Drosophila melanogaster: one gene and its partners. The gene in region 2 interacts genetically with the main gene of each other region. Each region holds a gene or a part of one and is shown on either strand. Other genes may lie near its edges.

What was found. Genes that interact genetically often act in the same process or in processes that back each other up.
Region 1: of rut (region 2) and slo, changing one suppresses a phenotype caused by changing the other (phenotypic suppression), as found in Drosophila melanogaster (one study listed by BioGRID).
Region 3: of rut (region 2) and amn, changing one suppresses a phenotype caused by changing the other (phenotypic suppression), as found in Drosophila melanogaster (one study listed by BioGRID).

What each region holds. Positions count from the first base shown.
Region 1 is NT_033777.3:24,660,877-24,665,540, reverse strand, and holds the start of slo (slowpoke), read right to left. Parts: upstream 3,051-4,664; 5' UTR 2,978-3,050; intron 1,178-2,977; 5' UTR 746-1,177; intron 645-745; 5' UTR 456-644; exon of another isoform or gene 117-455; intron 1-116. Other genes in the region: Ppox (protoporphyrinogen oxidase), read left to right, coding at 3,816-4,664. UniProt on the Drosophila melanogaster protein: Potassium channel activated by both membrane depolarization or increase in cytosolic Ca(2+) that mediates export of K(+). Its activation dampens the excitatory events that elevate the cytosolic Ca(2+) concentration and/or depolarize the cell membrane.
Region 2 is NC_004354.4:14,823,043-14,827,607, forward strand, and holds the start of rut (rutabaga), read right to left. Parts: upstream 3,032-4,565; 5' UTR 2,920-3,031; intron 2,864-2,919; exon of another isoform or gene 2,704-2,863; intron 1,886-2,703; 5' UTR 1,747-1,885; intron 1-1,746. UniProt on the Drosophila melanogaster protein: This is a membrane-bound, calmodulin-sensitive adenylyl cyclase. Inactivation of this cyclase leads to a learning and memory defect.
Region 3 is NC_004354.4:19,885,558-19,891,787, forward strand, and holds amn (amnesiac), read right to left. Parts: upstream 4,504-6,230; 5' UTR 1,936-4,503; coding exon 1,393-1,935; 3' UTR 551-1,392; downstream 1-550. UniProt on the Drosophila melanogaster protein: Required for associative learning and memory in adults. Expression pattern suggests a modulatory role in memory formation. Controls neurotransmitter-mediated signaling pathways associated with the structure of the larval peripheral nerve.

The DNA of each region.
Region 1 (4,664 bases), on a different chromosome or scaffold from region 2:
AGTACTGATAAGATTATGTACATTATATATATTTACAACAAATTTTACAAATATCTCTCGATTACATTATCGTTTTACACCAAGTTGTACACTTAATTAACAGAAATAAGGCTTACATTTTAATGATATATATAATATAATGAGCTCGCTCCTTTGGATTCAAAACAAAGTGATAAGCTATTGGATTAAAGATCACTGCCTTTTATATGTTCGAAGTAGAGCAAAATGTGATAAGAGTAGCAGCGTCTAGCACTGCGAACTATCGCTGGAAAAATGACTGATTGATTGATGATTGATTGATTGACGAGCTGGAGAGATAGGTTAATCCCAGTAGTCCGTATACAGATCATTGCAGAGCCGCTAACGTGACTTCTACAATTTCAGATGGTCTTTCACAAGCGAGGCGTACGAATATGTATCTGTGGATTTATCACGTACGACATCAAGGGCTTTACCTTTGGCGTGATGGGCGGATAGAACGGTGGCAGTTCGTGGCAATTGGGGCACCAGCTGGCCATGTTCGTTCCGGTTTCGGTCCGGGCGGACCGCTTGCTGATGTGGTGTTGATGGTCTTTCTGGATTTCGAAGTGGATCTTGCGGCTGCTACGGCTTTCCCCTCGCTATCCGTTCTCATATTCGGGTTTCTATGCGGCACAGTGTATGGATGTTGTGGTGGTGGTGCAATCGAATTGGGATTTGGAACAGTGTTTTTTGGGCGAATGGATGAAGGACTGGGAGTACTCACCTAGTACTGGCTAAACCACCGAGGCAGGGCTCCAGGGCTGCCAACATTCACACGCTCAAATCGCACATCAATGTGTTTGGACGATTTGTGGTCGCTGCGGCTCGCCAATGTTGCACGTGGAAATTCTTGGGCTGGCTGGCTGGATTTTCCTCACTGGCTGATGGATTGCGGCTTGCTGATTATTTCATAATTGCATTTCGGATCCGTGGATGAGTTTCATTGTGTTATCAGCTGCGTTAAGCTTATCAGTTTCATTGTGCGTTTTGGTTTGTTTGCTTCTTTCTTTGCCGTCTTGATCAATAGTTGTTCGTTCTTTTGAATTTGAATTGGAATTTGGTTAAATTAGAAACTGCGCTTAGTCACACTGCTCATGTTTCCTTTCACAACTTATTTAGCTTTGTTTGCCCACGAAATTTTTCCTTGTGTGTTAAGCTGCAAGAGATTTATTAAGTTGAGCGATAATTTAAATACTTTTTAATTTGCCAAGGCAGCGCGACGAACGCGGTAATTAATTATATTTTTTAGTTAGGCTGTCAGCGTTATTTGCGTTTTTAATTTTTTTACGACCGCAGACATTTGTCAATGATATTACGTATATATTTGTATTCGTATATATATTCTATTAAATTAATATTATTTTAGACATTGTATCACCATTTTCCGTAGCCGGAAAAGCAAGCGTGTCAAGTAAATAAATAAATAAAGATGCGAAGCAGACTTGAAAGCAAAATCAGCACTATTCTCGCCGTTTTTAAATTCTCAGTTCTCGGAGAATTCTCTGAGAATTTCTCTCAATTTCTCACAATTGCTGCTGGCGTATTGGCGGCTGCGCGATGCAGGGAATCCGAAAATTGTCGGGCAGAAAGCTTTTTCCTTGCCTGCGAAAGTCGCACATTTTGGTTAAGCATACGCAATGTGGTACCAAAAACTAGAATTTTTGGCAATATACAACATGCTTTACAATTATCACTTTCGTTTGCATGTTATTTGTATATGATACATTTAATGTCAAACTTGTCATTGGTAACTTTTTAAGTTATTCATTTCCTGCCCGATTAGCGAGGCTTTGCTGTCCTGCGGACGGACTCGTTCTTTCGCCTGCGGCATGTCGTTGAAACGGAAACACACTGCCCTAGTTTTTAGTTCCCCTTCGTGTCACACACACACACTCGCACACCCGCAGGACACACACTTTCATGCGCTTAACGAGCTGCCTAATGTGCCTGCAAACAATGGAAACGGGACAAATGCCGAGTCAAATGAAAGTTGCATTTTCATAATAAATAAGCAGGCGACACAATTTCCCACGGCACGCCAACGGGCGGAAAATACAGGGGGCTTGGAAAATGGGCATTCGTGAGCCAATGTAAACAGAGCTTAGTCCTTCGTCCTGGCCGCGCATTGAACTCGCCTGGATTTGGTGGCTTCATTTGTAGGTATCTGGGTATCTGCGTATCCTGGCGCACGCACACACACACCCACGCTCGGCCAGTGACTGACTGACACACATATACCAAGGTATCCTGCGACACACGAAGGACGACGAGTAGGAAGCAACAAAAATAACATTGACGATGACAGCAGCGGCAAAGGCAGGGGAACGATACAAGTGTATCTCCGGCCTGGAACATCGACTTTATCATCGGGTCGGGTCCCTTCGTCCTTTCGTTTTGGGGAACTTGTGGTGTGCTCGTTTTAAAAACGAACGAAAAACTGTGCCGTATGCGCATGTGTGTGTGTCCGTGTGTGTTGACTTCAACAAATGTATCTTTTAAATGAAAACCTGCAGCAGTGCCAAAAAAAAAAGCGAAAAACTGTATTTCTAAAGAGTTTTCCTTTAGTGTTGCTCGTTGGTCCACTTCTTAGCTCCTTTATGTATGCAACACTTTTTTCGCAATCACAATCGCCGTTTTATGGGCGAACACACACACACACACTCGGTCACTAATTAATTGAATTTCCTGCGTTGTAAGTGTGTGTGTGGCACATTTTCACGTTCACTGAGCCCGTTTTCAACGGATACCGAATTTTGCACAATTGCCGTTCCGCAAATGGCCACGATAATTGCCCGGATTTTAAGACGTTTTTTGCTCAATTTTCCCCGTAATTGGCAAACGCAGCTTGAAAATTTTTCACATTTCCAAGTGCTGCAGCTGTGTGTGTGTGTATGGGTCCCGTGAATATACATATACGCGATAGGCACTTTTCCACACAGTCCACTCACTCACACACCCAGAATAAAAGACGCGACGCGCTCAAACGCGAGGACCAACCTTTCTCGTCAGCAGCGTATACAATTCTGCGCGATGTCGACTCCGACGACATGGAAATCGGTGGCCCAATGTACTTCCGCACGGCCCAAGCTCGTCTTTGGGAGCTTTTCGGAGTCCTGCGGTTGGTGCGGGCTGGACGCTTCGTTCGATTCATCAAAACTGGCGCCAAAACCCATTCACTATGAATGACCCAGTGCCGCGGTGATGGTGATGATGATGGTAATGGTGCCGATGCAGGTGCAAGTGAACTTCCGCACGATGCACACGTGGCGTATGAGGAATGTCGGAAGAAATTCATTGCATACTTTTGGGACGGGTGCACAAATGCATGTTAAATGAGATAAAATAATGGCAAATAAAAGTACTATGCATTTGTATTCTTGTATCAATGCTTAAATTAAGTATTATCAATTGCACTATATTTTATTTAACTTTACATAATTTAACAATAAATATTCTAAAACCATTGTTTCGATTATAAGATATTATGTTAGCTGTAGTTACCAAAATAAGTATAACAATAAATGCTATTTATTTTATAAAATATTTATCCCTTCCTTTATTTGATTTTATTTTCTGCAGAATTGTCAATTCAAAACTCTTCAATCGCATATAACATCGATTGCAAGCTCAGCGATTTTGGATTTGAGCTTATCGATAGCTTCAACGATAGTTATGTCACCTGGGTTTATTTTGGTCTGAACGATCGAAGCCGGCATAGATTTTTTCGTCTGCAAACCAGAACTAGTCTGAATCCTCTAAGGGATTCGGGAGCAACGAGAAGCAGCAGAAGGACCATGACGACGGCCGTGCTGGGAGGCGGATTGAGTGGACTATCCGCCGGATACTACCTGTTGCGGCGATTCGGGAAGCCGCTGACCATCTACGAGGCCTCGCCCCGTGTGGGCGGATGGGTGCGGTCGGAGAATCGCAAGGATCGCAACTTCATCTTCGAGAGCGGACCGCGAACCATACGCCCAGTTGGTGAGCCAGGTGCCAATACGCTAGAATTGGTGGAGGATCTGAAGCTGGAGGTGACTCCCATTCGACGCAGTCATGTCGCAGCACGCAACCGAATGCTGTATGCCAAGGGACAGCTCTGCATGCTGCCCAACAGTCCCAAGGGTCTCTTCGGCGTCCTGCCTCCCTTCACGAAGCCGCTATACAAAGCGGTTCTTCGCGATCTGTTCACAGCAAGCAAGAAAGCGAAGCTGGAGGATGAGAGCATCTACAGTTTCGCTGAGCGGCGGTTTGGTAAGGAGATAGCCGACTACGCCATCAGTCCCATGATCTGCGGTATTTGCGCCGGTGACGCGCGAGAAATAAGTGTGCGCTTCCTGATGGAGGGGCTCTTTGAAAAGGAACAGAAGTACGGAGGAGTGCTCAAGGGCACACTCATTTCCCGCTTTGAGAAGAACAAGACCAAGGACACCAAGGATGGACTATTTGCCGAAAGACAGCCCAAGCTGTATGCGCAGGCGGTAAAGGAGAAGTGGGCCATGTACGGGCTGAAAGGCGGTCTGGAGAACCTACCCAAAACTATGCGAAAGTACTTAGGTGAGCGGGATGTGAACGTGCAGCTAAGCAACGAATGCCGGAACCTGACCTTCAGCAGCTCCGGGGTTCGAATGAACATCAAGGATGCC
Region 2 (4,565 bases):
TCAGATAATGTCTCTATCGCTGTAATAATTCCATCGTAACACGAAGGCAATGTGATCAGTAGATGAGAAATTTTATCCATCTCTTCTATTTTTGCACCAGCTGCCAACAATTCACTTATAAGTTCGTCAAAAATATGAAAATGGCTTAATAGTGACATCTCACTCGATAGCTTCAGAGAAAGCAAACGTTTTCGCAGCGCCAGTTGCGACGCCAAACTTTTTCGTTCATAAACGGCGTCCAAATTCTCAAGAATCTGACGCGCCGTAATGTCGCTTGTTGCGAAATTTAAAAACGAGTCGCTTAGGTACTCTATTATTGTACTTTTTGCACAACGCTCTGCCTTTTTCCAGGAGTCATCTACCTCGTTAGGCATTAAACCATCAACTACTTTAAGCACATCTTGCTCGGCTAAAAGAGCCCTAATTCTAAATTTCCAAATCGCGTACTTCTCGCCATCAAACGGCTTAATATTACGTTTAGCCTTGTCCATTTTTCACTCAAATTCTGAGAAGGAAATAATTTCACAAGAATGTGAAAAAAAAAGCTATTTCACAAGAATGTGAAAAAAATGCTATTTCACAATTTATTTTCACAATCTTTAATTCACAATTTAATTGTTTATTAGGCATGGACTGGGCCCATAACCTGTTGTAATTTATAATTTATATTTCCTTTCTTAATAAATAAATAAATAGTCAAGTTTATGTTTGAGTTTTATGATTTATATTTTAAGTTATTTCAACTGCAACACCAGCACCACGACCTACTCACAGCAAAAAACGTACAAGAAGGAAAGAAGGAATAAAAAGAGTGGTATTCTCTTACAATATGTTTTATGGCATAAAAGGTGTGGCCATTCATATCAAATATAAAGTAGTGTTGTTTAACGTTATTTTTGTAGGTTGAATAGTATATTCCAACAAACACAAATATGAAAAGTCGGCGGGGCGAAAAGAAAACACATGTGTCAGCTGCTGCAGCACACACAATTTAAAACTATAATATTAAAGGCAATTTGTTAAAAGGGTTGCAATTATTTATAGCCATCGCCCTAATGATTCAGATAATAAATGAGCTAAATAATTCGAAATCCCTAGTGAAAATCTATGAATAGAAGCCATTTAAACTGGCTTAGAAGCTACAATTATCTAGTCAAGTCATTAGTTAGTCAAATACACAGTTAAGTAGTTGTTATTAATAGCCATAAATGTATGATCATCGTAAAAATGATTGGTCATAAACTAAAAGTCTTACTTTTTATCGAAACAATAAAAAGTAAGCTAATAACGATCAGCAGTTAAAGTTGACGGATTTGTGTTATATCCAACTGGAATCTAGTTAAACAACAATTTAAAGATAATAATTGTTTATGAAAAACGCTATAAGTAGTTAGTACTAATATTAATTTTATTTTCCTTTTTTGGATAAAATTTCAGTTCTACATATATAATAATATTCATGTTATTTAAATAGGATTTTCGATTATATTTTTCATTCTATTTTTGCTTTCTTTCTTTCTTTCTTTCTTTTCAATAAAATATTAAATTTTATATACATGTATTGAGAAAATATAATATTTACTTTACTCATATTCTAATTTGTATTAAATATTAAAATGAATAAAAACGTTTCAACCTTCTCCCGATTTCATGTGTATCTTATCCATAACTACGTATATATGTACTTCAGAGATGCAAAAGTATCTTAGTATCTCAAACTGAATTTCGTCAAAGGAAAACACTTACCCAAAAAGCAACAACGATTGTGTTGCAAGTTGACTGCTGCTGCTTCTTCTTCTTCTGTTACTTTTTTGCCTCCTTGTTCTGTATCTCTTGTTGTTGTTGTTGTTATTATTGTTGTTGTAGGTCCAAGATGCATAGATGGCTGAGCGGAGAGTAAGAGGGTGCGAATGAGACAGCGATAGGGAGCGAGTGAGAGAGCAAGCGAGTTGTAATTGAATGTTTGGCTCTTAATTAAAACAAGAATTGTGACAGCCACGCTTTAAGGCGGGGGGCGTGGCAAGCCCAAGCCTAAGCCCACTCCCACACACTCTCTCTCTCTCTCTCTCCCTTGGTTATTGCTTTTCTTTGCTCTCTCTCTTCGCGTGCCCTTTTTGATTATCTAATCCTTGGGGCAGGTGACATTTTGCAACTTTTGGGGAAGCGGAAGTTGTTGCCGTTTTCTTGTGCTGCCGCCGCTGCCAATACCGTTATCGATTTTTTGCGGCAGCTTGTTGTTGTTGTTGTTGCCGCTGCTGCCGCCGCCGTAAGCCGAAAAAAGGCGTGTGTGTGGCAAAGAGACAGAGGAACGTGGAGAAGAGAGGGAAAAGCCAGTGGCAAAGCGCATCCATGGACGGCACACACACACACACACACACACACACGCATTGGCATGATGAGAAGAGTGGGGGAGTGTGGAAAACGGGGAGAGAGGAGAGCCGAAAAGGCCAAAGCGAAACGAGTTAAGACGCAAGACAATGCAGATAAAAGCGGCAACAACGACAACAACAAACACGGCCAAGAACGGCAACAACAACCACAACAGCAGAAGGCGTCGCGGTGCGCTCTTCTTCTTGCTCTCCTTCTTTATCATCTGCTGGCAATGCATTCGTGTTTTTTGTTGTTTTTTGGGTTTTCGGTTTTTCTTGTTGGTTTTCTTTTATTATTATTTTTTTTTTTTTTTTGGAAAACTTGAATCTTTACCAGCTGCGTTTGGAGTTTTCCTGCCACTTCTTAAATGCGCGCGCGCATTTCCCACGACAAAAAGAAAACAAACGACCAGCGAGACACACAAAGTGGCACTTTATAGAACGAAAAAAAAAGTAGAATGTGCAAATACACCAGCACCGAAAAAAAAAAAGAAGAACAACAGTTAAGATCGCCGCGTTATTTAACCGCTTTTCCTTCCACACAACTCACGACGCGATTTCTTCGGATTGTTTGGCTTGGTTTGTTTGGTTTGTTCGGTTTCTCTTCGGCTCCGCTCGCTTCGGATTTGGTCTGTTCTCAGCAAAGCGTTGCAGCCAAACTAAAGCGTCCGTCGGCGGTTCGTAGCGAACCACTGCGAACCGAGTGGCACGAAGCTGCACGAAGTTGCACGAAGCGTTCGTCGGCGTGCAGCGAAAGCACTATCGTAGAGATGGGGCGCCACTGCTTGCGATAGCCCAATCGATATATCGTATATCAGCTGGTGTGATTTTAAATCCTATTATCAGCGTTATTTACAATATATACCAATTTCAAATTGATAGATGGAGATCGAACGTTGTGGTTTTTAAAGTTCCTGATCTTAATGCGTACATGTTCACTTATATGCAACTTGTATGGCGAATAAAAGTTGAAATGCAAAAGCTTTCAAAAGTCTATCGCCATGTCTTACATATTATCAGCAATCAGCTGGTTTTCTAGGTACTGTGTTATTATAGATTACTTATTGATTTTGAATATAGTTTTTAATATTAAGTTAAAATATACACCAATTAATCAAAAATTTTAAATGGGATTTGAGTAAAAATTAATGGGCATAATCATAGAATAAGTTTTTTATTTGGTAGGAAATACTAAACTAGAAAATACCAAAAGGCTGAAGAATGGTGGTCAAATGAAATTTCTAAAATAGAAAACCGTTAAAAGGCAATGCTATATTATTTAATAACATAACACAAACTAGTCAATTTTAAAGTTGATTTTTTACGTATTATAACAAAGAATGAAACTAAAGCTTTATAGTTACCAATTAAAAATGGCAGCCCCATTTTATTCACTAACTGCCCAGTTTTCGAAATGAAACATTCAGTTTTGTATAATACACTTCATATAATTTTATGCAGGTATTTATATATGCAATTATTTAACACTCAGTGGCGCAAACAGAAGAAAACCGAAGAATTCGCGGACAATTTGCAAGTCGCTTGTATTTCAAATGTCTCCATAAAGTAATATTGCTGATTCGGCTTTTGGTGCGAATTGTCAACGCACTCCTCGTTTTCTTTCAGTGCACACCACATTTACCATTATTTGTACACTCTTATGTATTTTTGTGGGTTTCTTGTAAATCATTTTGCCGAATATTTAGCTCGTACACACTAAAACTATTAAACTGATTTCGTTTTTGTTGACTAGCATTTAGTTATTTGCTTTTTGTAAACAGCATAAAATGTAACTTTCTTAATTATGTATATGCCACTACATAAACTAAATTATTGCACATCATTTATTTAGGATTAGAACATAGTTTGCCACACGTGCCTGAGTGCGTTGGTGTGGATTTAAAAAGATTCCTGCTGGCTCATCCATCATCTCGCATCCATTTCGATCCACCTGGGATTGATGTCTTTTTGTATTTGAATGATATGTACGCTACGCTTTTGACTAATTGGATTTTTTGGATCGATCGTAAGTATGCCCTAATACTCATAGAGTAAAATTTTGCCATAATTTTCATATTTGTATGCGTGCAGTGATGGGGGAAGTTGTGTCAGCGGCCAAACAAGAGTTTTCTAAATTGAAGAAAGGTACTTTCGAAAATTCCGTTACAAAAATGCTCAAAAATAGTGCATAGTTTT
Region 3 (6,230 bases), 5.1 Mb from region 2:
TGTATTCATTAACGGGACATTTGGGCACGCGCTAAATTCGATCCCATCCGCACCCACTTCCTTCTGCCCGCACTTTCTTACTTTCTTACTTTCGTATAGTTCTCGGTTTGGCATTTCTATGGACTCTCGACTATCTTATCAGCTGGGCTTGTGTGTTTGAGTGTTTGTGCAAAAACAACGGCAAACAGATTTCTTTATAAGCAAAAAATAACGTTATTGGCGAGATTTCCGACTTTTGGCAAGATTGTTGAGATATCCGAAATATTTGATATTATTGGATTTTGAATGTATATATAATCCTTATATGAATATACCATTCCTTTATTTACTGCTTAAAACATCAATCTCTCTGCCTTGTATTATTTGCAACTATTTTATGTTCTGAGGTAAAACAATAATTCGAGTATGAACCAATTTTATCCTTATCAACTATAGAAAATAGAAAGCAAACCAAAACAAAACCAAACCAAACCCAAAAAGAAATAAATAAATCAACCGAAGCGAGGCAATACAAAGTGCTCACAAAGTACGTTGAGACTATAATGAGCTGAATTCACGATTCTTATCAGCTGCAATCAGTTTATTTTTAATCATAATAATGCCTTAAGCACGATAGTTCTTTAAAATATTTACTTGGACTTGGAAAATAGAATTTGTAAAAGTTGAATCTCTAACATATTTACATAGCAGTGTGCCAGAGTGCAAAGCAATTTTGCATTGGCTTTTGATTGAATAACATTGATTTTCTGTTCTATTGCTCTGAAATCTTTATCTTCGCCTTGTTGACGAATCGCACTCGATTCGAATTTATTTCGATCGAAAGAGCTCTCGACGCTGGCGATGATGTGGATGTGAATGTGGATGTGGATGCTGATGCTGATGGCTCCCTTGCCAATGTTTTGGCCACTCCGCCCAATATCACGCCTTCAATCCCCAAACATTCTTTTCGCTCACATGCGGTTGCTTTTCCATACCCAAAAAAAGTTCAACCGGTATTTGTGCATAGTTCTTTGACTAAAGTACACGTACTAATACATTATACACACATTAAAAGATCAAAGCGAGCTAGAATATTTTCATTGTTTATGCTTATATAATGAAGGATAGGATATCCTATTATTTGGCATGAAAATGTGTATATTTTAATTTGTTTTCCCATTTGCAGAGCAGTTTAAAAGCTATTAACTGAGAATTGTTTTTCACTATTCTCTCATCATAGTGCATCGATTTCTGAGCAAAATTATATTAGTTTATTTGTTTATAGTGAACGAATTGTAATATTATAGCTGATAGACTCGAGTTTAGAGTTCGCAAAAAATGCGGATTATACGGCGTATGTGCAAGCCGGAAAACTTGGCTTCTGGATTGTTCTAGTGTTTTGGCTTTTCTTTGCTATCTCATCTCTCCCAAAAGAGAGGGAGAGAGTGCTCTTGGGTTCTCGCGAGAGAACTTCGGCTGGCCTCGTGGCACTGACCGCCGACCAATCAGAGAGCAGCTTGGCCACTTCGTGAGCACCTTCGTTTCGCTGTCGTTGCATAATGGCCAAGAGGCGACAAGTGTTGGCCCAAACCGAGTCCGAGCAGCAGCGAAACGCTGGCCCACAGGGAAAACAAGGGAAAAGCACGAAAAATTCGGGCGCGGAATGTAAGAGCGCTTACAGCAGAGCACAGCAGCGCACAGCGACCGCGACTGAGCGCCATTGCGGTGGTAGTGGTAGCGGAGCTGCGTCGTTCGGCACTCTTCGGCTCTCTCTCTTCGGCTGGCGCTCAGCTGTTCGAATTGGCGGCAGAGCGCCAGTGCTGCGCTACCTTTCGAACCGCTTACAACGCGTCGCCGCAACGCGGACGCTCTAAAAAGTAAAAAAAAAGTGTAAAACAGTAATACGCAGTGCAACGCCACAGCAGCCGGATAAAAACAACAACAAAAACTGCGCATGTAAAGCTGTGTTTATATTACTTGTTTTTTTTTTTACGGTGTCTCGCTGTTTTTGCTTTCGTCGCAGACAACAAAAGTGGCAAAGTTTTCGCCACGGCATTGCTCATACGCCCCGTCTCTTGCAAATTCGCTCACACTCACACGCGCGCCAATACCAGCGCACATTCACATATATACAAGTGTACGCGCGCGTTTTTCAGTGTGTTTCGTTTCGTTTTTTTTTTCTGTTTCTGTTGGTGACATGCAAAAAGCAACAAAAAAATAATAATAAATACATATAACGAAAACGATTAGTTCGGCGTTTTCTCGTAAAAGTGGGCACCAAAATGCATCAGCCCAGGTGGAAATCAAAACAAAAACAAACCGAAAAATAAATAAATCATTTATTATTTAAACATCGCAAAGTAAGCTTCTCCTCGCACACAAACACACACAAACTCGCGCGCTCATAGACTGGCTCACATACACACTAGCATACACATCTCACTCACACGCAGATGGAGCAACAAGTTTGCGTGCCACAAAATTTCCATTCGGCAATTTTTTGCGATTCTGTTTGTTTTTATTTTCATTTTTTTTTTTTAGCCTGATAGTTGTTGAGAACAAGCCAGCTTTATCTTGTTGTTATTTTACTCGAAAATAATGTAGATGTACATACAGCTTGTCAAGTTTTTAATGCAATTGCTTGGGTCTAGATCGTTTATATATTTTTATTGTACATCTATCACGTTGGTAAACAATAAAAATTACGCTTGTAAACCTAAACAAATTTGATTTGGAACGAAAATACTTGACAAACTGTATTAAAATTTTAATTAAAATTTAAACTACGTTTCGGTTATTCCATGAACTTCATTTCAAATCGAATTGAAATGTGTTTTTCCACTGCGGTTTTTCAACTGCAATTAGGGCTTTGAAAATTGATAATCAGAAACCACAGACCAAATTCATATGGATTAAATATGCAATGGAACAATATTAACAAGTGACCTAAAATAGATTCCGAAAAAGCCCATATTGTTTCCACCAGTTTTCCTTCTTAGATCACAGTTCCTATAAATAACTCTCTTAGCAAAGGAGTGCATGAATCAGTAGATATGAGTGAGTCGTAAATATTTTATAATATCACGAGGAGATAGTTGGCTAATCTTGAATGAGATCACTAAGAGATCCTTTATATTATTTTTTCACATAGGATGCCATATGTCATTTGCTTGATTCAGGATGTTCAGTACTTTTGATTCATTTAATTTCAAGTTTGACAATGATATGTATCATCTATTTACTTGATTAGCGATCAAATCTGTTTTCCATCTTGCGCAGCGGTTCCGTTTGATACTCTATACATATCCGATATCCTTTCATGAATGCCAATGTGTGTGCGTGATTAAATCCGCACCATGTGGACGCTCGGAACATTTGGTATATGTGCATACATACATATATATCTGCTTAGATCCTTGATCCCACATTGTTCGCGGTCCTTGTCTTCGTATTCTTCGGTTGACGCTAAGTACAACGCCAAAGTATCGTCCTTCTGTCGAGGACGCTGTTGTTGTTGCTGTTGTTGCTGTTGTTGCTGCAGCACACACCTTTGCACTTTAATTTCTGGCGTCTTGTTTAGCATCTGCGCCGGGTGTTATTTAAAAATAAAAGAGGAAGAAGAACGAGCCAGGATGAATGGTAGGGATGGGATGGTATGGAATGGTATGGGGAGGGACTCGAGAGAGCGGGTATATGTGAAGTCGACTGGCGACGGCGGCGGCGGCAGCAGCAGCGGTTTTAATGTCAATAAGACGCGGCGGCTATTGCCAGTCACTCACACCATCGATCGCCCCCTCTCGCTCGCACACTTATACACGGCCACACGGCGTGTGTGTGCACGCGGTCAGGACGTGCACACACACACTTGCGAAGCAACAGTGCCGTCCCATATCCTTCGGCTTGTTTATCCTTATTTTCTCTCAATTTCATGCTTCCTGCTCCCCTGCCGACTTGCCTCCACCTAAACCCTCTCTCTCTCTCTCCCTCTCTCACACTGAAAGAAAAGGAGCAGCCTTTTGAATCTGTAGTTCTTAATCCTTTTCATCTGCAACAGATGTCACTGCCTAACATTTTTATCTGCGCGTTTTATCTGGATCCTGTAAAAAGGAAGCTATGGTTATGCTTGCTGAAAGGTATTTTCGCCAGTGTACATACTTAGCCACCAATCGTCTCTGGCTCATTATTGTTATTACGTATACGGTAGTAAGGGTAGAAAAAGGAGTAAATATACAACTAAGGCGTTTTCGTATGCGATTTCCGAATCATCCGTTATTATTAATGGGTAAATAAAAATTCGTCTCTTAGTAGATGAGTATCTTAACGTATTGCATTGGGGAAATAACTAAAATAGTAGCGTATCTATTAAAGCACATAAAAACATTAATGAGCACTAAAGTAACCGTTAGTTATTTGACAATTTGCCTGCCTGAATGACCAAATCTGCCGTTGGTATTGTATTGTTTTTCCGAGTCCGAAAAGCTTGCAATCATGGCTTTTGCGCACTTAGGATGTGCGCACCCCTTCCGAAGACTTCCACACACACGCGGACGCACATCAGCTGGTTAATAACAATACACACACACACACACACACACACACCGATGTGTGGAACTTGTTCTGCCTGCCACGCAATTTCAAACGGCCTTGAACGGCATTTGATAGTTGCTTTCGTCGTCGGTTTTGGCACTGCCCTAGACCTGCATGCCATGCCAAGCCATGCCATCTATGGGAACCCAATCCATACCACATATCAGTACATGTACATATATGTACACACATACATACATACATATATATATATCGTATGCAGCCACTCGTGCAGCTGTTGTCAAAATAAGGGTTCGTACTGGACTATTTCAATTAGTCGCTCAGAAAAGGGGTATATTGTCTTTGGGAAAACGCGTGCAACAGGTAAAGGGGTGTGTTTGTGGCATTATAATAGACGAGTTTCTGATCAGTAGCAACAGCTTTGTAATATATATGAAATATATGTATGTATTATGTATGCTTCAATGCTTCACAATTGTTGGTGCATATGCAGTACAGGATATAATTGAGGTATGTGTACATACATATGTACATACGTACATAGAAAGGATGTTAAAGCTGATAGGTTCCTTTCATCCGTTCGATTGGACTTTTCTGCATATTAGACGATATGATCTATACACTTATGTATATTACTTAATAATTAAAAGGAGAGGACGGCACTACGTTTAACTTGAACACAGGTGCACAACATACAGACGTTCATATATCCATATGTATATATGTGTACGTACCATGGATTTTGTCCAAAATTTGCATTTTGCAGCTGCACAACAACAGTTGAAAGCGATTCAAGTCAAGTCCGAGTCAAGTCGAGTCGAATGAAATTGATTCGATTGGCAACTCATAAATAAACATGAGCTGGGGAGATCGTTAAACGAACATGCTTGCTGCACCGCCCCTCTCCGTCCCACAAAAGATTCGCATTCTCCTAAAACCCATACAATCTATACAAACCATAAAGAATCGACCTAACTGTGGCAATATTGTAAATGCAATTAACTGTAGTTCTCTGCCGCCGCGCTGCGCAATTGAATGTCGGCCATTGGATAATCGAGGGGTTTGGGGAACTGGGACCACCATATAGGGGCAGTTAGCACGCGTCAACTCTATATAGCTATAAAACACGGCAAAGATACAAATACGGCAGTATTATCTATTCGAATCTTACTATTGGGATTCAGCGGGATACCAGAAGAAAGCATTGCTTTTGCAATCAAAAATCACCAAAAGTATAAAAATACTATCATAACTAGCCATGCGGATCTTACAAATCCAACGCTTGAACCATTGACCATTATTTTCTTACGTCGGATAAATTTGTTTTCAAAAAAAAAAAAAAAAAAGACTTCGTACCATCTTGTTTTAATATGTGACAGGAAGTTTGGTTTTAAATGTGCGGATTAGATTAGATACACGGTCATATCCCTTATCTATTTCACTTGAATTATTGTAATAAGTTATCTGTTGATATACTCGGAATTTCACTTAAGATGTGAACTTTACGTTGTGTTCTTTTACAATCGATCGAACGATCATAGATGAAATGTGATGATTAGCGGGCCCATAAAAGCGTTCTTTCTGAAGAAACTGCTCAAACTCGATCCATTTGCTTTGCCTAGAATGTTTTAAACAAATAACTGACTATGCGGCTAGGAGATCAAAACGAGTTTTTAGGTTAGTAAGCATTCAGAAATACTATC